Zea mays: one gene and its partners. The main gene of each other region encodes a partner of the protein of the gene in region 3 in a complex. Links are inferred from orthologs where the notes say so. Each region holds a gene or a part of one and is shown on either strand. Other genes may lie near its edges.

Region 1 (7,852 bases), on a different chromosome or scaffold from region 3:
CAAACTAACCAAACAGCAGCTCCTGCCCTTTATTGAGAAAATTGCAGATCTTCTCCCAAGCTGGAAGGCAGAGTTGTTGAACAAAGCTGGCAGAAGAATTCTAGTGCAGCATGTCCTAACTAGTATGACAATCTATACTGCAATGGCTATTGATTTTCCTAAGTGGGCTTTGGATGCAATTGATAAAATTAGAAGGGGATTCTTATGGAGAGGCAGAAAGGATGCTAAAGGAGGTCACTGTATGGTAGCCTGGGAAAAGGTTTGTAGGCCTCTACATATGGGAGGCCTCGGGATTTCTAACCTGACTAAGCTTTGTTGGGCTCTCAGAATGAGGTGGTTGTGGCTGCAAAAAACTGATTCTTCGAGGCCATGGGTGGACCTACCCATTCAGGTCCCAAGTATTGCCAGGTCCTTCTTCTCTGCAGTGTTGATGTCAGAGGTTGGCAATGGTGCGAATACTCTTTTTTGGGTGGATAAATGGATTAATGGGAAAAAGGTAGCTGATATTGCACCAAGACTGTTCTGCACCATATCAAAAAGAATTGCCAATAAAAGAACAGTGCAAGAGGCAATGGACAATAGGAGATGGATTAGTGATATTAGGGGCGCTCTCTCAGCAGGGGCCTTGATTGATTTTCTGCATCTCTGGGAAGCTTTAACGGATTTTCAGCTACATCCTGATATTGAAGACAGACACATTTTTTCCATAGCGCCAGATGGTAACTACTCAGCAAAAGTTGCTTATGAAGGGCTCTTCCAGGGATCGTGCTCCTTTCTTCACCACAAAAGAATCTGGAAATCCTGGATGCCACCCAAGTGCCATTTCTTCCTGTGGCTGGTGGCACATGATAAATGCTGGACTGCTGATAGGCTGCAGAAAAGAGGCATGAACCATCCGGCTAGGTGCCCTCTTTGTGATCAAGAACCTGAAAGCATTGATCACCTGCTGGTTTCCTGTGTGTTCTCAAGAGTTTTCTGGTATAGGCTTTTGAGAAAGTTTGGGTTACACAGCTTATCCCCTCAGCAAGTGGAGCCTTCCTTCCTTGGTTGGTGGGAGAATTCCTCGGCTCAGGTCCTCAACATGGGAAAGAAAGGACTGGACTCCCTTGTTGCTTTAGGGGCCTGGATGATTTGGAATCATAGAAACAAGGTGGTGTTCGATGGAAGGACCCCCTCTATCTCCTTCCTTCTTCAAGCTGCTGAGGATGAACAGGAGACGTGGCGGCTGGCTGGTGCCAAGGGGCTTTCCTTTTTGGCCAGCCAAACTACCTAGCTCCTAGGGCTGTAGTGTTTTTTGTCCAGTTTTATGGATAGCTTTGTGTATGCTTGTTTCTGGCCTCCATAAGGAGTGCTTGTACCTGGGTCCTTATGGCCCTTTATTTTCCCTCTACTTTAATATATGGGTGCGCAGTCCTCCTGCGCTCTTTCGAGAAAAAAAAAATACAATGCACAAGACAGGAAAGGATGATGGTTTGAAACCCGCACCCCAGATACGAGCTGTCCCATCCTCTGATCCTGTTACAACCTGATCAAAAAATAAGTCAGTTAGTAACATATCACATATTGTACATATTATAGACAAGATGAACATCAAATAATGGAAAGCCAAGATAATCAAATAACCTGGCGGTTTGACTCACGAACTGCAATGCTGTGCAAATAATCAGCATGCCCCTTGAATGTGATTTTACATTTACTGGTCTCCTGAGAGAAGCAGTCATGATTAGCATTAGTTTCAGATACCTTCTCAAGCACAGAGCATTGATATTATCCAAGCTTGTAATGCTAAAGACTCTAAAGCAGAACTGCAGTTCCTTCTATGTGTGTTCAATTTACCTTAAGAAAATACATACCACATCCCAGCAGTAAGCACATGCATCACCCGCTGCTGCCAAAATGGATCCATCCTGTTTGGAAGAATGATGATAACAGAAAATAAGATTTGTTGAACCAAGCAATATGCATGAGGAACGAAAATTTGGGACAGTCACACTTCCTGGAGGATATAAAAACATGAAAAGTTCCAGTTGTTAACCTGTTTATTAATTGCAATGGCATTGTTTTCAGGTACTGGAGATCGAGCACCCCAAGGACCCCTACAAAATTGCCAGCAGCAACAATGTTATTAAAGCTACGTTTAAACTATGTTTAAACGTCAAAACGCTAATTAGAGCTTGAAACCACGTTTTGTCGTTCTAAACTGTAAAACGCAGTGTTTTATGTGTTTTAGACCATTAGCTACTTTTGGGCCCAGTCTGTTAGTTAGGGTCCAATCTGGCTCATGGGTGAAGTTTTGATAAGCCACTAGCCTCTCTATTTTGGTATTTAACTTCATGTTATTGTCTGAAATTATGATATATTGGTATTTTTCCTATGTTGTTCAAAACTAAGTTTAAACTTTGTTTAAAAGTCAAAACTTCACCCATGAGCGTTTTATCGTTTTAATAACCTTGAGCAGCAACAATGCAAACAGGGTAAATTGGGGGGGGGGGGTGGGGGGGGCAGCTGCTGGAATAAACGGTGTAAACTGGAAGGTCTGAGATTGCAGTTTTATCACAGAATCCTTACTCGTGCTGAGGGTTGACCAAGTCAAGTGCTGGTTCCAGATGATCCCCTGTGAACAAAGGCAACAGAAAAATTGGTAAAAGCAATAACAATGACCAAAATGTAGAAGATGCACTAGGCAATTTTCGGCGCATTTCCACACAGATACTCGTTTGTTCTCCCTTTTCTCCTTTATAGGAAAAACAACATATGCTCGTTCCTTCCACCTTTTCTCATGTACGAAAAACAACAGATGCCTTGTTTCACTTTTTATCAATACAACTATACTGGTTATTAAAAAAACTGAAATAATATTAACTTGGCCTTCAAGGCGCAACACACAGAAAAACTACAAAAGATATTGATGCATCTTCATAGATAAAATAAGTAGCAACTATGAAACATTTTCACATGAATCATGCCTTGCACTGGCAAGATTCTAGATTTGTATCTATGCCAGTGCAGGGCATGATTCATGATTTCTCCTGCATCAAACCTACACCATTGTAAAAAATGTGCATATTTTTTCGGTGCACCTGTGCTAGATGCATCGCAATGCCCTAGTGGCCTGGTAAAGCATATGACCATTTATGAAAGAAACCACGTCAAAAAAGAATGGAAGTTCGAATGCAGCACCTTGCAGGGAGAGCGGGACAAGGCAGCTCTGCATCTCGTGCCACCTCCAACCCTTGATGCGGCCATCGTCCCCGCAGCTGCCACAAGGAAGTAAGCAGCCAAAGAACCGCACAACCATTAACCCATCACCGTCTCCAACCAAATGAAGCACATTGCCATGGGTAATATTGTCAAGAAGCATAAGAGCCTGTTTGGAAACTTTGGATACAAGGGCTAGTTGCTAGTGCTAAAGAATTAGCCAAAATTAGCTCTAGCGCATCCACCGAACAGGAGGGCAAATTGGTGGATTATTTTTTTAGCCAGGTCTTCAACTAGTTGGAGAAGTCAATAAGGATAAGAGCCTGTTTGGATACAAGGGCTAGTTGCTAGCGCTAAAGAAATAGCCAAAATTAGCTTTAGCGCATCCACCGAACAGGAGGGCAAATTGGTGGGTTAATTTTTTTAGCCAAGTCTTCAACTAGTTGGTAGCCAACTAGCTAGCTAACCACAGCTAATTTAAGCGAATTTTTAGCCTCAACTAGTAACTAGCCATGTGTATGAAACATGCCAAGTCAAACATTCTGTCAGTCACCTGAAGAGCAGCGGCTGCTGTTGATCGGGGTAAAACCTGACGTCGTAGGCAGGTCCGCTGTGCGCTTGCACGATGCAGACAGGATCTACCAGAGTGGCGGCGGTCTCCACCTGAGAACCAGACCAAGAAAAACTCACTCTACGCCTCTCTGGGCGTGCGTCACCAAAAAATCAGTTCTGGCCAAAGGGTACGAACCTGGGAGGTAGCGGAACATGCGGAGATGCAGGATGAAAGGGAGAAGGAAGCGAGGGAGCCGTCGCTGGAGGCGGCGGCGAGTAGGATGTCGGTATCCGGGTCGTCGCTGTGGTCAAAGAAGACGGCACGGAAGAGGGTGCGGGACGAGAGGTCGCGGGCACGGAGGATGCCGCGGCGGTACGATGACTCGTCCCACCGGCGCGCGTCCATCGATGCCGGATGGGACTGCGCCGCCGCCGTCGCCATGGCTGTCCTACTCTGCGCTGATGCGCTCTGCGCTTTTGCTTCGGGGAGCGAAGGGATCAGGGAAGACGGGGACAATTCCGAGTTCCCGACAGAAAAGTGAAAGCGACAGCGGGTTGGGCTGGGCTTCTTTCAACTAGAATTCCGCCGGCTTCTGGCCCATCTTTAAACTTTTCCATCAAAATGCTTTAAGCCTTTGTGGCACGCTCCCTTATGATTTTAAACAAATAAATTTATAAGAAAAAATATTTATATGGTTTTCTTGAGAACATCTCCCTTAGGAGTTATGCAATTTTTTAAAAATAAAATCTAGTCTAATTCACACAAAAATATGGTTTTGCTCGACAAAAATATGAAACAATTTTGAATTCTTTTTCTAGAATCTTTTGTGGAGTTATTTGAATCTTCTATGGATACATTATGGTGACATGGATTTTGTATAAGGCAAGGGCAAAGTGACTTCGACAATGTTATGAGTGTTATGTAATGACCTCATATGCAGTGCTTAGTTGATGAGCTAGTTAAGATATTTGTTATTGGTGACTTGTTGAAGCTTTTGTAAAAAAACGCAACTGGGCAACACAATTAAAGTAAAGTCTCTCTCTTTTTTATCTTTGATGGGTTCTAATGTACCATTAAATAACGTAGACGAAGCATGTATTCAATTTACAAGGGTCTACATTTTTCCTTTCTCCTTTATTGGATTAAACAAAGATGAGGAATACATAGCAGTTATGAAACCTTTGGAAGGTATTGAAGGTTTCTTAAACTGATTTAAGTGCTTGAAGATGACATACCTTCTAATACTCTTTGTGCACGAAGGTGCTACAGGCTTAGACATACAAGTGACCAACCCTTGTAACAGTGGCATTGTACACTTATTTATAAGATCAAGATTACACACATTCCAACTCAGAAAAAGAATGTCCACTCCTCTATATGAAGACTATGTACAACTAGAGACTAACATTATGTCTTTTTTAGGGAAGAAGTGTTGTATACACCTTTTCTTCCTCCTTCGATAACGTACTAAGGTAGTTCAATCCTATTAAAGTTTCATTTCTTCCTTCTCCTTTGGCTTGTCGTTTCTTGATGGAGAGCCGACCTAAGCCTCCGATTTAGACACATGGTTCGGAGGTAGCCAATTGAAAATAGACTAAAGCAACAATTTTCATCAAATATAGATATTCGACCAAAAGCTCTCCTCAACACTTCTCTAATCGTTGAGGTCACCCTTCTATATGAAGTCTAGTTCCTCCAAGTCAATTATAAGTATTATAGATAGAAGAATAACTACTATAAAATAAACATCATAATGAACCCATAAAATACCCAAATAACTTCAAACTGGATCTAATAATAGAGCATGTTTTAGTTAAATATAAATGTAGTTTTTTCTAATGATTTTTAAGGTTAAATTGGATTTGAGATTATTTATTTGTTAATTTTCTTTTCATGGACATCTTTTCCAAAAAATGACATTTGAACCTTGAGCTATGAGCATGTTCCGATTTATCACTAGGGTGATACCCATAGGCATTGTTTCCAATGGTTGTAGATACCAAATTAACATGTAGGTGTGAGTACATATATGAGGTTATACAAACGCATATGGATCATATGTCGATTCAGCTGGTGCTTCAAATATATAGTACAATGCTCGTGCGTTGTGACGACACACAAATTATTCGATAAAATGTTAGTGCACAACGATTACATGAAAACAAACAATACATATATTATAATTGATATCAATATCGCACATATTCTTATGCGACATGAATTGACAATTTCCAACCGAACCCTAGACACTTATACATGTTGCCCGCTAGAAATTCCTCAAACTACTAAACTAAGTAGGCAGTCCGAGATAACCATGGTGGAATAAGAGGCAAGTGATTTCGGGCCAATAAATTTGCACTATCGACCAACCCATGAATTCTAGAATATAAAAATATTACTCATTGTTACATCAACCGATAGGAATGAGAATACATCAGCTGATAGAAATGAAAATAAACATGCATATTGTATCGAGAACCTTATATACACAGGCCCAAACCATGGCAGGCTAATTCATTATTTTGTACACTTGCACACATTATATGGGAGTGAATTAAATTATCCTCACACACACTTACCTGTGTTCTTCCCAAATTTTCCACTTCTTATCATCCACTAAATCTAAGAACACTCGAACTTCTAAATTGTTTTCTTCCTAAATTGCAAACAAAACATTCCACATCATTGGTTATAATCACATGTATCAAATGCAGTTGCTAAAAAAGGAGTGACATGCATTAAAATAGTCTATAGAACACAAATGAAGTTATCTATGACAAGTGAGGAGGCTGTAAGTATAGCCTAATGTCCTAGCCAACATTTTTAAGTCTCCATTTCCAAGTTATAAGATATTTTGGTTTTTTTCTAGCCACATAGCTTGTGCTATGTATTTTGATAAAATATTGGTCATGGCAAGGGAACTGCTCTTCCATCATCTTAGGGTTTGTTTGTTTTTCAGCTTTTTTGCTGATTCTAGCTGTCACAAGCTGTCGCGGACTACCAAACGCTCAGCTTCTCAGTTCGCTTCTATGAGGATCGCTTTGATGAAAGTTGTTCAAAATTAACGTGAACACACAATCGGTCGAGTCGTCGCGACAGGAGGAATCCATCACTTCCTAGATCCTAAACCCCATGGACCCCTTCATTTTCCTTCGCATGTAATCCACATAATACTCAAATTCTCCTCACATCCATATTATCCCTACAATCAAATTCTCGTAAAAGCTCGTCAGAAAAAAACTGAAACAAACAGACCTTTAAGTAGTTCCACACTGGTTGCTATGTTCACCTCTCATTGCATGTGTAGTGCAAAAAATGATTAAATTCTAGGTTGGACTTATGTGACATAATAGAAAACTGTCTTTTCTAGATTTGAAAGACAAACACCTTTTATCTTTTCAGAAGACAAGGCACAATTGCTTATCTCTTCTTAACACGGTTCCTCCTAGGTGGTTTAGGATTACATTTAAGAAATAGGGTAAAAACCAGTATGCCCATAATTTAGGATTTTCGTATCAAAAAATTCCTGAAGGATATGATGCCTACTAAAAGTAGTCTAGAGGGGGTGAATAGGCTAAACCTGAAAATTATCACCAGAACCTTCGAGATAATGTTAAATCTACAGTTCAACTGGTGCAGGCCAGTTCAACTGTAATAAAGGCAAGTTGAACTACTCTGAACCAGTTCAACTGCTAGAATAAATCTAGACTATGAACTGTGCAGAAAATAGAAGATGGATCTCTTATAGTGGAAAACGCGAGAGATAAGCTAAGCGTGGATGGTGAAAATACGAGAGTTAATTCACCACAAGATCCACACGGCGAGTAAACCTATATGATGTCTATCTTGCCAAATAAAATCACAATCATAGATCGAGCAAGAACACAAGACACAAGATTTATCCTGAGGTTCGGCCACACCACAAAGGTGTCCTACTCCCCGTTGAGGAGCCCACAAAGGGCAGGGTCTTTTTCAATCCTAATCCTCCACAACCCGACCACCAAGGTCAAGCGATTCTTTTTCTCAAACTTGCTCACAAGAGAGGAGAATACAAACTTCTTGGGGTCGTCCACAAATTTGGAGACTCCCAAGCAACCTCAA
Region 2 (7,863 bases), on a different chromosome or scaffold from region 3:
TCTCCAGCTTTATTCCAAGCAATCTCATTCATCTGAGGAACAAAGCAATAATGCAAAGTTGCAAACATTAAACAGTGAAAGCAATATTTTTCCTTGAACACACATGTGTATCAGCATTGAGGGAGAGGCCAAAATGACAAATCAGTCCTCCCTCCCCCCCCCCCCCCCCCCCCAAAAAAAAAAGTGCAAAGTTGCAATGAAGAATAGATCTCCAGCTTTATTCCAAGCGATCTCATTCATCTCAGGAACAAAGCAATAATACAAAGTTGCAAACATTAAACAGTGAAAGCAACATTTTTCCTTGAACACACATAATGTGTATCATTGCATTGAGGGAGAGGCCAAAATGGCAAATCAGTCCATCCCCCCACCCCCAGGTCTGAGTAGGTGGCTGAGTAGCAGGTCCTAAGTTTGACTCCCTATGACAGCAAATTTTATACTGGGGTGAAAAAAAAACCTCATCTGCCGAAAGGTTCATGATCAGCAATACACAAATTAAAATAAAGTATACGAGCGAAAGGGCCTCTAGCTGAGTTAGCTAGGTGGTTTGAGTTCGATTCCCCATGAGAGCGAATTTCAGACAGTGTTAAAAAAATCCTCTTGTCTGTCCCATGCCAAAATATAGGTGTAAGGCTTGGTCCTGGTCGTGGTCGTTCTTACATGGACTATGGTGCCACTGTGTATGGGTGGAGCACTGGAGCAGGTGTCCGGAGGTTTTCTCAACATGTGTGAGGTCTTCTTCTTAATACAATGTATGGGGGTTGTCTTATCCCCCGCAAGTCAAGTTTTAAAATAAAGTATATGTTCAATTATTTGCTAAATTCATACAGCAGTACCCATTTACTCAAAAAACATCCATACATCAAATTGTCTCAGACAAGCACACAAGAACAGTGCTGCTCATTTTATTTCTACAAGGCGAAAGGGTCTCTAGCCGAGTTGTTTAGATGCTCTGAGTAGCACTCCTCAGGTCCTGGGTTTAACTCCCCGTAGGAGTGAATTTTCAGGCTGTGGTTAAAAAAAACCCTCGTTTGTCCCACGCCAAAGCACAGGTCTAAGGCCCAGCCCCGGTCGCAGTCGTTCTCACATGGGCTACGGTGCCGCTGTTTATGGGTGGAGCAGGGGTTCGAGGGTTTTCTCGACCTGCATGAGGTCTTCTTAATATAATGTCATGGGGTCTTAATATAATGTCGTGGGGCGGTCTTACCCCCTCCAGGTCGAGTTTTTATTTTATTTTATTTTATTTCTACCGACATGTATATGTGCATCCTAATCCAAAGAACAGTTGGATCAAACAAAGAGTTGTTAGAAAATGATTCATATATCCAAGCTTCAATTTATAATTACCTCGTAAGTAGACTTGTGTTTCTTAGCAACTTTAAGTGTCCTAACATCCAATATCGTCAGCTCATCCTCCTACAAACCATAACAAAACTGTTATTGTAGACATATAAATATATAATTTGAAAAAATTAGAGTTTCAGTAATTTGTAAACATCATATAGATACAGTTTTATTAACCTTATATGATTCCCCTCCCCCCTCCCCCAAAATGCATGTTTTTCACAAATTACTTAAATTATTTACATAGATTTCTCAAGCTCAAGAATATTTATCTATAACCAAACAGAATAAAACATGTCACAGCTCCATCTAATTGATTAATTAATATGCCTATATGTACAACTTTAGGTGCATAATCCAATTCTATATTCTATATTGTTATGATACTGCCATACTGGTACAGGATTCAGCAATGCAAAACTGTAGGACTTCCAGAAAAGAAACACCAAAATAGCAATATGGCTGAACTTTTTTAACGTACTTGCTGAAAAAGGTATAAGCCAAAAGTGACAGTAGAACAATCCATCTTACTGTAAATAAATAAACCTAACCACATTAATATAGGTCAGTTTTCTAAATGTATCCATTCTTGGCATTAGCAGAGAAAAGTTAGGCAGTACAAACCTTGTTTCCAACAGCTATCTGAGTGCCATCATGTTTATATGTGATGTTGATGTTTTCTCCACTAAGTTCAACAACTTGACATTTTCCACCTAAAAAGACACAAAGAAGCATTGACGAGAAGATAAAATCATTATAACTTGATTGACAGAAACTACCACCAAGAGTCCAAGATAGAACAAAAAATACAACATATATCATCTGAAAGCCAGATGTCACATATGACAAAATAGCTTCCAGATAAAGTTATTACATAATAGATCTTTCCACATCAAATTTGTTGTAAATGTGGGGTAATGTAGGAAATAACAAAGGGCCTGTTTGGATCTTATCAGATTCCAGGTTCGAGCCTGTAGAAGCTAGGATGGTCTCCAAACACCCACCATCTTCACAAGCCCGCTTCCACAATCTCAAAAGCTGAATGAACTTCGCTTCTACCAGCTTATAGAAATTTATATGGATCCAGATGCAGTCAAAATAAAAGATGTATTTCATAGATTTTAAGAAGTATAATGCTAAATGCATTATGAAATGCTAAAGAAAAACTGTGCTTTCTAGCAACATCATGGATGAACTGTGCTACTTACTTCGAGCATCCCAAAGACGAATAGATTTGTCAGCAGCTGCAGTAGCAACTGTATCAGGATGATTTGGATCCCAGCAAAGCTGATCTACACTATCTGTGTGGCCTTTCAGTTCAATATCTTTAACCTTAGACTGTAACAAATTAGCACAAGTTCCCATTTAGATCTTTCAATGGTATAGAAACATACGCTGAAATTACACTCTCTGGCTCTCTGCTACCAAATAGAAAAGCATAGAAAGGGCTATTATTAAGAATCAAGGTAATATACTCTAGTTAAAAGTTATTCAAAACTCTACAGCTTACTCTGAAGATTCCATCGGTTCAGAATAAAACCACGTCTCGTGCTACAAATTATGGTAAAGGTTTCGTTGCACTATAAGAACATTATATGTTGAGTTACACCACAATAACTGATAAACTGAAAAGTAAATTATATTGCGCACAAGCTAAAGAAACAGGAATATTACTGTAAAGTACCTGTCACAATTTCTGCAATAGCCAAAGCTTGAAGTTAAAAGGGAGGTGCAGATGAGAAGCATTTGTCCCTCTTTGGCATATCACGCAAACTAATGCTTTCTTAAGTTCAATGTCATAACTTATTATCTAGGTTCTATAAGATAGGGAATATACCAGTTATGCAGATTTTCAAAATTTACCAAACCGATCATTATCTTAATAAGAAAACAGTGGGGAGCGTATCCCATTCTGTAAAGATAAATTTGGTACCAAGGACAGAAGGAGAGAAAGTTACATGGACATGTGGATCAATGCTCCAGACACGTGCGGTATGATCGATCGATCCTGAAGCAAGCTTTGTGCCTAGGCAGTTCCATGCTACAGAGTGCACCTAATGATAAAAACTATCAGAATGGTGAACACAATGATAAGATTACCAAAGAAATGCATAAAACAAAGCAAAAATAAGAACCCACAAATCAATCTAAATTTTGTACCGACAAGTACTAGGGTAGAGTGGTTTTGCTTTGAAGATCGCTATGAGGAGTTAAGGACAATTAAGCAACACATTCAACATAATGTAAGAAACAAAGAAAAAACATCCTCAGAATGTCATATATTCATCCTGAAAGAAAGATCATTCCTTCTTATTTCTCCTCATTGCAACTTTACAACATGCCCTAAGATAATCTCAAATTTCTTTATAGAACCAGAGGAAAACTGCTCTTGCTCCCCTGCAAGGACAGGCACCACGGCCCCTTTGCTGCAACAAAGGACAACCAAAATAGATTGCCTATTGCAACTAAATTCATTTGCAACTAACTGTGGCTGCAGCAATATTTCGTTTTCATCATGCCTTAACATTGACTCCTTTCATGCTCTATATAAAGAGAAGAAATAGCTAAATCCCCTCTCCACGCTTATAGCTTCGAATCGAAAGCAAGATAGGTCCACGATCCCATCTATGTTCTCAGGAACCAAACCGGAAGGCCCAAAGATTGTTACTTCCGCACCTTGTTTCATCATTCTGCATGCAAGGCCGGAATTTAGGGCCTCACCCTACGAATTGCAACCCTAATGATTGGAACTTCGAAACCTTTCTTCTGGCGAGATTCTGGGTTTTATAGGGGCTCAGAAGAAATTATAATGGGATATTGGGGAGGCGTTGAGAGGTATTACCTTCTTCTTGTGGCCGTAGTATTCCCTCGACACCAGGTCCCTTAGATTCGCCCCAGGGGTCGAGCCGCCGCCGGCGGCGGCGCCACCGCTGCCCTTCCTCTCCTCCTCTCTGCTCTCCATGCGCTCTCGCCCCGTTTTGTCCGGGAGGGGAGTAATCCAATTCCAATCCCAAAGTACACAAACTAGCCCATGAAGAGATCGGGCCAGGCCTGATGGGCTAGGCTACATTAAAACATTCAGCAACTCAGGTCCTGTTTGTTTAATATGATCTAGGCCCATGATTCCATAAGCTACCAACCTTCATTTTGAAAGAAAAACCTATTCCTTAACTGTCACACCCGTTTCTTTGAGACAGAGCCGGGTGCATAGCATATGTGTGCCAGGATTTATTTTCACACATATATTGACATTACAAGTGTAATATATTAAAAGAATGATACATAAGAGCGTAAATAAAGATTATATTAACATGTTACACTTCGAACAGACATAATGTCTTAACCTTTATTCATCAAAGTACAGCGAAACATGGACATCCATCCACAGGAAGATGACCGGGGGTATCAATAGACTAGCATCCATGGAGCTCAGCATCATAACTTCATCTGCAAACTTCTGATCAAAATTTAAGCAAGGGTGAGCTCACTTATGGTCAGGGCTCAGCAAGTGGGGGAAAATGCAAGGTAACAAGGTAAGGCTAAAGTTAAATGCGATTGGCATTTTAGTTGGTCAACATTTTATTAACAACACTTGTCTTACTAATAAGTGTGAATCCCAAGTATTCCCATTAAACAAAGGTATAAGAGTATATCAAAAACACTTAAGTGAAACCACTTAAGCAAACCATTGGCAGATCATCGGATCTCGATTTATTTCCATCTTCAAGTTCAATTATCATGTGAGGAGTCTAGGCTGCTCTTAACCGTGAGCACAGCTGATATATCAGTTTTACACTCTGCAGAGGTGGCGCATCTTTACCCATGAGTCACGATCCCCTTCTAGCTTGGGTTAGCTAGACCTGTATTCACTTCCGAGGTGAATGGCTAAGGTCTCACTACGAGGCTTTTCCCTAGAGTCCTCATTATGCAAATGCTGGAAATGGTCAAACTGCATAGAGCACATCTAACGTAACCAACTTATAGTCCAGTCTGCAGGGTAAAGCTTTGGGAATTATGCATGTATCCAATCTGTCTGAGCCAGAAATATAAGCGCTTGCCAGATGCCCCCGTTCCGGTCGACCACGACCAGCACCCAACATAAGACTTCCCTAGTTATTTAGCCAAGGGCGTCCCATACCACCCTCATGGTAGCACTGTTTTCCCGGGTGGTCACTTCATGTTCCAATTAAATCATATGATCTTGCTTAATCGTCGGATTAGCAACAATAATGTAAACTTACCAATTGGAACCTTAATATCACAAATCGGAGTGACTGCATAAAGTTAAGTTGTAGCAATAGCATAGCTACGAAGGTAAAGTATAATACCCAAGTTTGATCAAGGAATATGGTAGAAAAGGTTAGGTGTATCCGAATAGGTAACCCATCAAATTATGCATATATATCTAAGTTCTTAAAACCTGACCCGGTTTGAAACACCGACCGCATTTCACGGGTTCGGCACCTAACGTTTACTGACGCGTGGCAGTACAGCATCGGACGCGCCAACATGTGCCCCCCTCGTGCCCTGCCTTGCCTGTGTCGCCAATGCATGCTTTCTCTCTCCTCGTGTCGCGCTCCCAGACACCGCTACAGTGCGCACCCACATGCTACAGAGCTTGGTGTCCGGTGCAGAAACCAGCTCAGGTCAGGCCTTGCCTTTCGCCGTTCGGTCGCCGCGCATCCGCTATAGCGTCGCATCTGCCAACTATAGTGACCAACGTCTGTTGCTGGCAGGTGCTCAGGTCACGCCTCGCAGGTCGCCATGCCGTCGCGGCACGCGGAGGCATGGGCACGGGTGTATGGTTGTCCTTCAGTCAGGCGAAGGTCGCATTCGACCGCGAGCCCTAGCCTCCGCTTGACACCATCCGTGATTTGTCCCCATGGAGGCTGATTTGACGCTGCTGTTGTGCCCCCTGCTCTAGCGCGGACCACAGGCAGCTTCCACTTTGAGAAGATGTGTTGGGGTTCGTCCTCGCCAGCCCTGAACGTGACTGTCCTCTCTGACCACGACGATGCGCGCCTTGACAACAACCCCACGTCTAAGCAGTGTCGCGGCATGGACACAAGGTTCGTACTTTCTTCCCTTTTATTATCTCCTCCTCAGTCCCCCTCATCCTCAATTCGCGTTTTTGTGCCCTACAACTGAAGTTTCCCCCAAAATCGCCTTCCTTAGGCCTGCGATTTTCCATTCTTTGTGTGTCGTATCCACCGTCGCCAAGGGATTTGCCTGATGTGGTGCTCGTAGCGTTCATGACCTATCTCTCGAGAAGGCCTCCCTGGGTGCAGGTTCATTTCCATTCTCATGTTAGTTCGCTTGCCAATTCAGAGCTGCCTTTAGGATTTCTCATGCATGTTTACTAGAACTGGTAGATTAGTTCATCTGCTGCTACTGCCATTGTTTCCTCTAGAGTTCAGTTTTTTGGCTTTGTATGCTTCGTTCGTGCCAGGAGCTTAGGGAGGCTACAATTTGTGAAAAAATGCAATTTCATCCAGTAGTGAATCAATCTGCATACAATTATTACCTCCATTTGTCTGCTAGATAAAGTTGTCCTTGGCTTTGATTTTTTAGATTGCAGGGTACATACACTTATTTCAAAAGAAAAAGGATTTCTCCATCACGAACAGTCTGATGCTTTGCCATTCCCTCAGGATGTAAAAAAATGTTTTCCTCAGCTTGAAGAGAAATTATGCTTTGTCAATCGCTTTAACAACTAACTAATTTAGGACCCCCTTCTTCGAGTTCTATTTTTTAGTGTTTTCTCTTTCTGAAGTGAAATAAATATCATGTCTATTTTTTGTAGGACTCGTGCACTCGAAATCTATAGCTTTTAGAGTCTTTGTTGTGCAAATCTTCTTACAAAACCTATGGTTCTCTGGAACACTCTTTAGCATACAAAATTTTTTATGAAGGTTGTCTGATAGACAAAGCTATCGGTGACCCTTTTCTTGCTTCTTTGTAAATGCAGAGTATGCCAACTTTTGTCAAGAAAATAAAAGTCAGTCATCACAAAGCAACCCACTACTTAGTCATTCCCTTATAGTATAAAGCATAGAAATATTCTTAGTAGCTTGGATTAAAAATGATGGTTTGCTAATCACTAAAACAGATAACTAATTAAAGCCCTTCTTCTCTCATTTCCCTTGTGCTTCCATTTTACTCAAAAGAATATGTGATGTTGTTCAAGGGAGTACTATTTCTAATCTGATGGAGGCATGTTTGTAGCAGGCATCCTACCATTGATGCTCCTCTACATCATGCTTCTAGGAGTACTGAAGTTCTGCCAGTTGGTTATGGCGACCAAAGAACGAAAATATGCTTATAGGAAGAGGCAAGTTTTATCAGCAAAAATTGTGCTCCTTCTTATGCCTACTATATAACAGTCCATTTGTGAATAAATACGTCAACACTTCTAAATCGTCGCGCTCACCTAGCAAGTTGGCTGTGAAGAAGTTGTTCACTGATACAGGTTATGGGAGCGTCGTTGGCTCAGGCAGTCCAGACAACACCGTCAGGTCC
Region 3 (7,925 bases):
AAATGCATGTCAAACAGCATAGCCAGGCACATAACTTGGTGAGTCAATATATAATCCTCATATGATAGAGGTATGCTTCGAAGGATGTGAAGATTTACCTGCACAGCATGATAGTGAGCTTTAAGAGCTACCCTCAGAAATGCACTAAATAAAACATGTTACACGATATGTTAGCACAAACCTCAGCTTCCATTGCACGAAGATCATTGTGCCACTTCAAAATTTCAGACTTTTCTGAGAGCAAACGTAATCTGAAAAGGGGAGGTCTAAGAGGATACTCCATACTTATCTTAACCTGTGATAAGTCTTAATGTCAGAAGCAAGAGCATGGAGAGATGCATGAAGGCTTAGAACAAATAGTGATGACATAGTTTACCTTGGCTTCCAGCATGACTTTTAGACCATTCTTCATAGTTTTACTCAGGACCATGGTGAATTCCTTGGAAGCATACTCCTCCCAGAATCTGTCTCTAATCGGGCTAGTAGCTTTTTCAGTTTCGTCAAGAATGCAGGGCTGGTCCTCCAACTCGCTGTCGCTATACATCAAGAGATCAAGATCGTCCTCATTTCTACCAAAACTTCGTGAGATGCTTAGCTTAGATGGTGTTGCACTCTTTGATATAAGAGATAAGCCTCTAGAATGGCTCCGGATCTCAGCTGACACCTCAGGTTGCAAAATTGTAGAACCATTTGGCTCATTCTCAGCAGGAATAACAACTGGAAGCTCCCCATCCTCCCTGATACTCTCAGTTTCTTCCCAGTTTGTCACAGATCTCTCTACATCACTGTCAACATTGCTTGCAGCACCACTTAGCATCAAAATAGAACGAGATGACTCAGGATAACTTGTCAATGACCAACTATGTAGACTGCACAGTGGGTTGCGTGATGCCCATGGTGCATTCTTATGTTCTATTCGAGGCCACTTCAGCTTTGTCAAATAATCAAGTTGCCACCTGTAATCAAAGAGACTCGAAAACTTCAAAGGGATGCTACCAATCAAACAGGCCATGTATATAACAGTCATGAATAACATTATAATGAAGGTCGCCAATAATTAGCTTTGAATCAATATGTAGAGAACATATGAAGAAGATATAAATGGTATGTTTCACAATTTCTGCCTGGTAAATGATTCATAGTATTGCCATAACTCAGAATGACATGTGCAATGAAGCAAAAGCATCATTAGCTCAAAATCGTCAGTCAAATTACACGGTCACTCTCAGGCTAATCTGCCATCCGGTTTTTTTCATCGATGTCCCAAACAGCAAAAAACATAGACCAGTGACTCACATAAGAGCCATCTGTGCAACTTTCCGCAAGCGGATCCTCTGCAAAATAGTCTGTGCACGGTTCTGCTGACGGTACAGAGCAAGCCCAGATGACAAATCAGCAGTGTTTAATGCTCTGCTAGAATCATCCCCAACAGATGGAGGCACTTCAGGCAAAAAGTCGATACCACCTAAATGTTGTGCCCACTTGTATGGCCTTGAATCCTTGTCGCTGAAGTTTGGAACCTCCCCAACATAAATCTTAGCCATCTGAGAAAATTGACAAGTCACTATTTCAGCTGACGTAAATGAGAGGCCCCAAGAAGATACTAGATACAGATGTAGTAACAAAACATATCCCTGCTAAAATCACATTAAAGGCCTGTGAGGCTGAAATAAACCAAAAACAGGTAGGTACATAAACAAACACCAAAACTTCCATAAGGATGGTGTAACTAGCAATCAAAACCATCTGCTTCGAATTAAATTACATACCTGGTGAGGCAGATCTAAACCAGTGTCATCTGGAAATAGGTTGGACAAGATATTACTGTCCAGACCCTCTGAATCTTCAATTCCGACACAAACAACATTCAACTTTGCCAAGTATTCAAACCTCAGGGTGATGAGTTTACGGCGTTTGCTACCAGAATCTTCAGTATCATATACATGAAGTATAATTTTAAGTGGGTGAAGTTGATAGGCCACTGCTGGATTATTAGCTTCCTTCACCACATTCTTTTTGGATCTTGATCTTCTTCTCTGAGCATCTTCTTCATCATCAATCACATCATCATCCATTCTGTTGTCGCCACTTGAAAGAGTGCCTGCTACAAGATACATATGAGACACACTAATTTCCAAGCCTGCCATGAAGCTTTAAGAACAGAAGATCCAGCAATGGACAAAAGATTACTTATCTCTAGACTCTGGTTTAAAAAGATGAATAATTAAGCAACTATGCACTACAAGAATGCTGTTATCAGTTAGGAATATTAAAATAGACCACAACCTACAGGAAAAGATTGCTATGCAGCAACACTAAACACAAGCTGTTTGGTTTACGTTAAATGTCCCAAAGCACCAAGCCACCAACCTCAACACGGTAACCTAAAGAAAGAATTTATAGAGACTGTACCATCAATCATAGGTTCTTATGAGGACATCATTGATTCTCTACATAAAAACAAGAATAGAGAAACACAGAACAGATAAACACAACTTTGCAAGGACACATAGCTGTGACATATTCCCTACATCTTGTGTTCACAGGCGCTTAAACAATTTTCACCAGGACCTCACAGCCGCAAAAACGCTTCAGTTTCAAGCAGTTGCCAGCTTGCATGCCACACAATATAACTGCATGCATGTGTCGCCATGCTTATTGCAACACGCATGCTCCCACAATGACCAGATTCCCGCCTGCACACCGCTGACTGGGTAAACAAGGAGTTACAATAACTGCATACAGGATTACAGGAAGAGTGGGTGCACGTAAACAGGAAACAACGCATGCAACTGCATGCAAATAGCTATTGCGCCTGTACATGCCGGATACTTTTCCAGACCCAGTACGCATGTGAATACCAGTCCTTCCATTCCCTTTTACCAAGCGTGATAAGGATGTTTATAGATACCAAGACCTTCAATCACATGCAAATCATATTAACTCACATAGTCATCTGTGTCCCTAACCACAAAGTCTAAGGGCATCTCCAACAATATGAGCTAGTACAAGCTCTAAGCTAGCAAACGTGGAAGAGAGAGCCAATAGCAATTTATATCATATTGTGTGAGAAAGAGGGGCATCGTGAAACGTGTGAGACTATCTCTTTACTCCACGCTAGCCTCTTGTCTTTTGCACTATTCAGCGAAATGGTCTCAACTAGCTCTAAGCTAGCCCATTGGGGATGCTCTAACCATTGTTCAGTTCCTGCTCAGCAGTATACAAGCCACGTTTGCATCCATGCCTTCATTCAATGAACCGAAGGTGCCACTACATGCATGGCATGCTTCAGCGCTGGGCTATTCACATGCATTAGACGTTTCGGTTTTTAGTGGTCTAATTAAGTGCCCTTGATACTCCAGCCCGTCCAGTATTATGGCCAAAATTAAAAACGAGAATAATCCTGGTATAACAGAACAGATGGAGTAGATGGAAGGAGTATCAAGCAAATGCATACGTACTGTTTTCCTTCTTGGCTTGTTGTTGAGCAAATATTTGGGCATCCTTTGTGCTTCCCGCGATCTCTACTTCAATATTCTCTCCAAATGCTTCTTTCTGCCCTAGCAGCTGAGTGTATGCTATATAAAGCGGAGTAGGAAGTAACTCAGCAGCATGGTGCTGCTTTAGTTTCTTGGTATGTTGCATCCCCAACTGTTGCTGCACTGGCAGTGATGCTTTCTTCAATGATTTCAAATGTGATGGCAGGCTTGAAAGAAACTTTTTCTGATTAGCAATTGTCTCCAGCAAGCTGCCCCTCTGTTGTCCTAATTTCTCATGTAGCTTGCATAACTCTTTCCTCTGGTTTACAATTTAAAATCTATTTTAGAAGCCAGCAATGAAATCATGGAAACAGCGCAAATGAGAGAACGCTAGCATCACCTAATAGAGTATAGAACTACTGTCCTTAAAATGTTCAAACCGTGTGCGGAAATAAATAAAAGAAATATAAAAGGTGCAACACAATAGCAAAAGAATACATGTGACTGGATGGTGATCAACTTAAGACATGAGAGCAAAAGTGATGGTAAACAACCTGAGCACAATGAAGAATATATGTGCAGTCTTCTTAAAAATAGATTATAGAAATTTTCATTATGCTACAATTATTATTAGGTAATACTTAATAGTGATACAAATAATCCAAATACTATAGTAAGTGCAAAACTCAACTAGCCTCCTAGGAATAAGATGTAAATTTTAAAAGAAGTTGAAGCAGAGCACAATATAATTCAGCAAAATATGTGTGATACGATCAGCTTATCAAGCCAATAGCCAACAATAAGTTTGTCAGGTGACTGCAAATATTTTAGTAAGTTTCATAGAATTTGAAAACTAAACGGAGTTCAAGCACAGCAGAATACAGTTTATCCAAAAATGCGTGAAAAATCAGCTTGTCAAGAAACAATACACCAGATGATTTGCATCAAAAGCAAGCGGTGGTGTAACTTCATCCACTATCGAGTATAGTTCTAAATTATAAATTCTCCAAAAAGAATCATGTATGCTAGGCTTAAAGTGGTATGTAATTTACCAACAGCTACCATAGCTCAAAATGTAGGCTGTTCATATTTAAGTCCCTCAAACAGGGAACCAAACAGACTAACAGAGTACAGCAAATTGGCAGCAGGTAGAGTTCCATAGTTCCTACAGGGTTGCAAAATATAGCAATACGCAACCTGGACGAGCTCAAAGTTGAGGCGCTTGAGCATGAGGTCGTGGGAGGCGTCGGCAGCGAGGGTCTTCTCAAGGATGTCTGCGGGCGCGGAACGCTGGAACTCCTCCTCGGGCACAAGCTCTATCCCCGGATACTTCGTCTGAAAGTCAAGACACGCTCTTATGGCCTTCACGTAGTGGTTCTTCTCGTACAACAGGTTATGCAGCTGCAGCGTCGTGGAGTCCACCGGCGCCTTCGCGGCCTCCGTCTCCGCCTTGACCTTGTCCTCCTCCATCAGTATCTCTCTGTTCACCTGCGCGGATCAAACTCAACTTAGCACAGCAGATCTACATGTAGGGTTTTGGATGTGGGGTAGGTTTTGGAGCGCGACGCCGACGTACTTGGCGTAGCGTGACGAGGTGCAGAGACATCTGAGTGACAAGCTCGCGGAGCTCCGACTTGGGGGCGCCGTCTTTCTTGATGGCGAGTATCCGGGCTGCGACTTTCTCGATGGAGGCGCGTGTCTCTGCCAGGAGGTCGTGAGGGGAGCGCAACTTGGTGGCCGGAGAGGTAGTCAGCGTCCTAGCCGGCGCGTCGACGTCCATGGCATCCGCAGTCGGCGCCGCCGCCATCCGTTCGGCCGGCGTGGGGAGAGACGACGGCCTTGGTGATGAAGTGGGTGGATCGGAATTCGGAAGTGTGTCGGATCCGTCTTTGGGATATTTGGGCGGCTGGGCCGCTGTTTCCGAGACAAGTTACAAGTTAGAACATCTCTCGGCCCACACGTCTACTGTAGGAAGTAACTTCTTTATTTTAGAAAAAAAACTAATCTGAACTCTGCAAGAGTTTTATCCTCAAGTAATCCTATTACCAAATCAGGTTCTGACTGTACTTTTATAAAAAACTCAAAAATCGAAACCTAGTGGCACATCAATTTTTAAAAAGAAATTTCATTTCAACCTCTAAGGCTATCTCTATAAGCTTACACATCCTCATACATATATTCAAACTTCACTCTATGAACGAGATAGTCTGCAGTGCAAAATAGTATAAAATAGTGCAAAACAGTATTTTTAGGTGACCATAGGGGTGAATTGTTGGACACGGTCTGAGGACCGTTTGTATCGCTTCATTTTGAAAATAATTGGAATCTACTCAACAGAGTCACGGTTATTCATCCTGTTTTTAACCAAAAACAGAGTCACGGTTACTCATCCCGTTTTTTAACCAAATTTTCGCTCGTTTCCGAAAACAGAAAATTAACCAAAATTTGTCTGGATTTTACATTTTCCTAAATGGTTTACGTTTTCAAATTCAAAGAATCAAAATCCGCATTTCTTGACTAATTTCCTATACATATATGAATAAAAACAAGTACTCATGAATGGTGATTGTAGTTCACCTAGTAATCCTTGCCATACGTATGTAGGTATTGGTCACGTCGAGGCGGATAGTTGTAACTAGAGATAATTGTCTGTGATTGCCATCATCAATAGGTCTGCAAACGAATGACATCGTTGTGGATGAGGTGTCCCATAACTTGGGAGGCATGCCTACCCCTAGCACCATATGCTCCAACATCACATTCACCTCTACCATTCCCGTGGCTACCATCGTCGTCGTCTCCATCATCCCCATGGCTACCATTATCATTGTTACCACCATCACCTTGATTATTGGTTTTCTTCAATGTATGTGTATATATTTGATGAGTAGTCTGTGCAAGGGATATATATGTTATATGAAAATTATATGGGCAGTGCGTGTTAATTTATGTATACTTGTGTATTTTGGATTTTACAATGACATGTGTAAATGTATATATACACCACACTAAAATGTACTAAAAATTAAACTTTTACATGGCTAAATGATCTTTTTGATGAAAAAGAACCGAAATCCGGTTGAAAAGCACTAGTGAATCGAAATTTACACAAAAAATAATTCACGTATAAGTCTGAAAATGACAAAAAACACCAAAAATCGTTGAAAACTTATCGAGGTTTACATCTGAAAGCTCTCTTGTGGGTTTTGGTGGTTTGGTTGACAACCCAATTAAAGGACTAACCAGTGTGCTAATTGTTGAACAGGTGCTTAATGCAAGGCTAATAGGGTTCAATACAAGTGAACAAGTGTGATGGTCCAAAGACGGGAATATCTATAGACAATGGACATCACATGTAAGATGGACAATGCTTAAGTGAGACTCGGTGTGCGTAACTCAGATACAACCGATCAAGCCAAGGATGGAGGCAAGAAGAGCTTCGAGGTACCGATTGCACGGGAGAAGGTCAAGGAAACCGAGGAACCCAAAGCCACGGGTGAAGAAGACTTGCAAAGTAAAGGTTGATCGAGCTAATAAGAGTTATGGTGCATCAAGGATCACTACATAAGGACATGACTTACAACCAACGAGATAACGTCTACAATATGTGGTGTAAGTCATAAGGCTCAAGATCAAACTCGATAAATGAACAAGGTCACTAGAAGGAGTAGTGTTAAAATCAGAACTGGAAGCAGTCCAAAAGAGCTAAGTTTACTTTGACCTTTAGTATGGGTTGTTTATGTGTTTGTATATGTCCTATGTAGCCTTTGCAAGGTGTTGGAGCTTATGTGTATTAATCTAAATCAAGTCAAGTTGACTTGATGGTTCTGAAGCTCTGTCTAAAGTAGATTATAAATCCTGGATTGAAGAGGTATGATCACAAGACTTAGTCAATTGTTTTAGTGGCTAACTATGTGTGTCTAGGTGCCAGGGATCATCCCAAAAGAAGACAAATTGGAGTAAATAAGTTGCACCAGTCTGGGAGCACCAGACAGTGTCTGGTGCCCAGGTTGATGCCTCGGTGAACAGACCGTTCTTGGGAAGTAGTTGGGGGCGCTGCAACTATAAATCATTGGACTGTCCGGTGTACACGAGACTATTCGGTGCGCCAACCGCACGCCTGCCCAACAGTCGGTCGCGTAATCAACGCCGGTCACGTCAGCCAAACCAACGGTTATCAAGTCGCACCGGACTGTCCAGTATGCCAAGTGGCCAAAGGGTGGAAATGGTCGGCTTCATCATGAAAGGAAATAAATCAGCTACGATCACTGCCCGGTGTGCACCAGACAGTCCGGTGCACACGCAGACAGGGAAGGTTGATTGCTTCCCATTTGAAGAACCAACGGCTAGGGGCTCCCTTGGGTCTATAAAAGGACCCCCTAGGCGTCCATCTACGTGTGTCGAAGACTCCCAAGTGCAGCAATACTTTGTAGACTCATTGCAAAT

The links.
Region 1: THO complex subunit 5B-like (region 3) and THO complex subunit 6 share a complex: the UniProt entries of both Arabidopsis thaliana proteins name them as parts of the THO complex. The link is inferred for Zea mays from reciprocal best matches to the Arabidopsis thaliana genes THO5 and DWA1.
Region 2: THO complex subunit 5B-like (region 3) and THO complex subunit 3-like share a complex: the UniProt entries of both Arabidopsis thaliana proteins name them as parts of the THO complex. The link is inferred for Zea mays from reciprocal best matches to the Arabidopsis thaliana genes THO5 and TEX1.

What each region holds. Positions count from the first base shown.
Region 1 is NC_050102.1:102,981,080-102,988,931, forward strand, and holds the start of THO complex subunit 6, read right to left. Parts: upstream 4,332-7,852; 5' UTR 4,193-4,331; coding exon 3,947-4,192; intron 3,862-3,946; coding exon 3,752-3,861; intron 3,258-3,751; coding exon 3,181-3,257; intron 2,615-3,180; coding exon 2,569-2,614; intron 2,097-2,568; coding exon 2,036-2,096; intron 1,908-2,035; coding exon 1,854-1,907; intron 1,705-1,853; coding exon 1,624-1,704; intron 1,526-1,623; coding exon 1,486-1,525; intron 1-1,485. UniProt on the Arabidopsis thaliana protein: Acts as a component of the THO subcomplex of the TREX complex which is thought to couple mRNA transcription, processing and nuclear export.
Region 2 is NC_050102.1:86,885,897-86,893,759, reverse strand, and holds the start of THO complex subunit 3-like, read right to left. Parts: upstream 4,332-7,863; 5' UTR 4,307-4,331; coding exon 4,187-4,306; intron 3,399-4,186; coding exon 3,303-3,398; intron 2,683-3,302; coding exon 2,553-2,682; intron 2,058-2,552; coding exon 1,969-2,057; intron 1,417-1,968; coding exon 1,348-1,416; intron 33-1,347; coding exon 1-32. UniProt on the Arabidopsis thaliana protein: Acts as a component of the THO subcomplex of the TREX complex which is thought to couple mRNA transcription, processing and nuclear export. Contributes to the integrity of the endogenous trans-acting small interfering RNA (ta-siRNA) pathway.
Region 3 is NC_050100.1:218,463,729-218,471,653, reverse strand, and holds the start of THO complex subunit 5B-like, read right to left. Parts: upstream 5,348-7,925; 5' UTR 5,287-5,347; coding exon 5,056-5,286; intron 4,968-5,055; coding exon 4,677-4,967; intron 3,799-4,676; coding exon 3,462-3,798; intron 2,105-3,461; coding exon of another isoform or gene 2,102-2,104; coding exon 1,770-2,101; intron 1,635-1,769; coding exon of another isoform or gene 1,545-1,634; coding exon 1,297-1,544; intron 957-1,296; coding exon 377-956; intron 296-376; coding exon 182-295; intron 99-181; coding exon 1-98. UniProt on the Arabidopsis thaliana protein: Acts as a component of the THO subcomplex of the TREX complex which is thought to couple mRNA transcription, processing and nuclear export.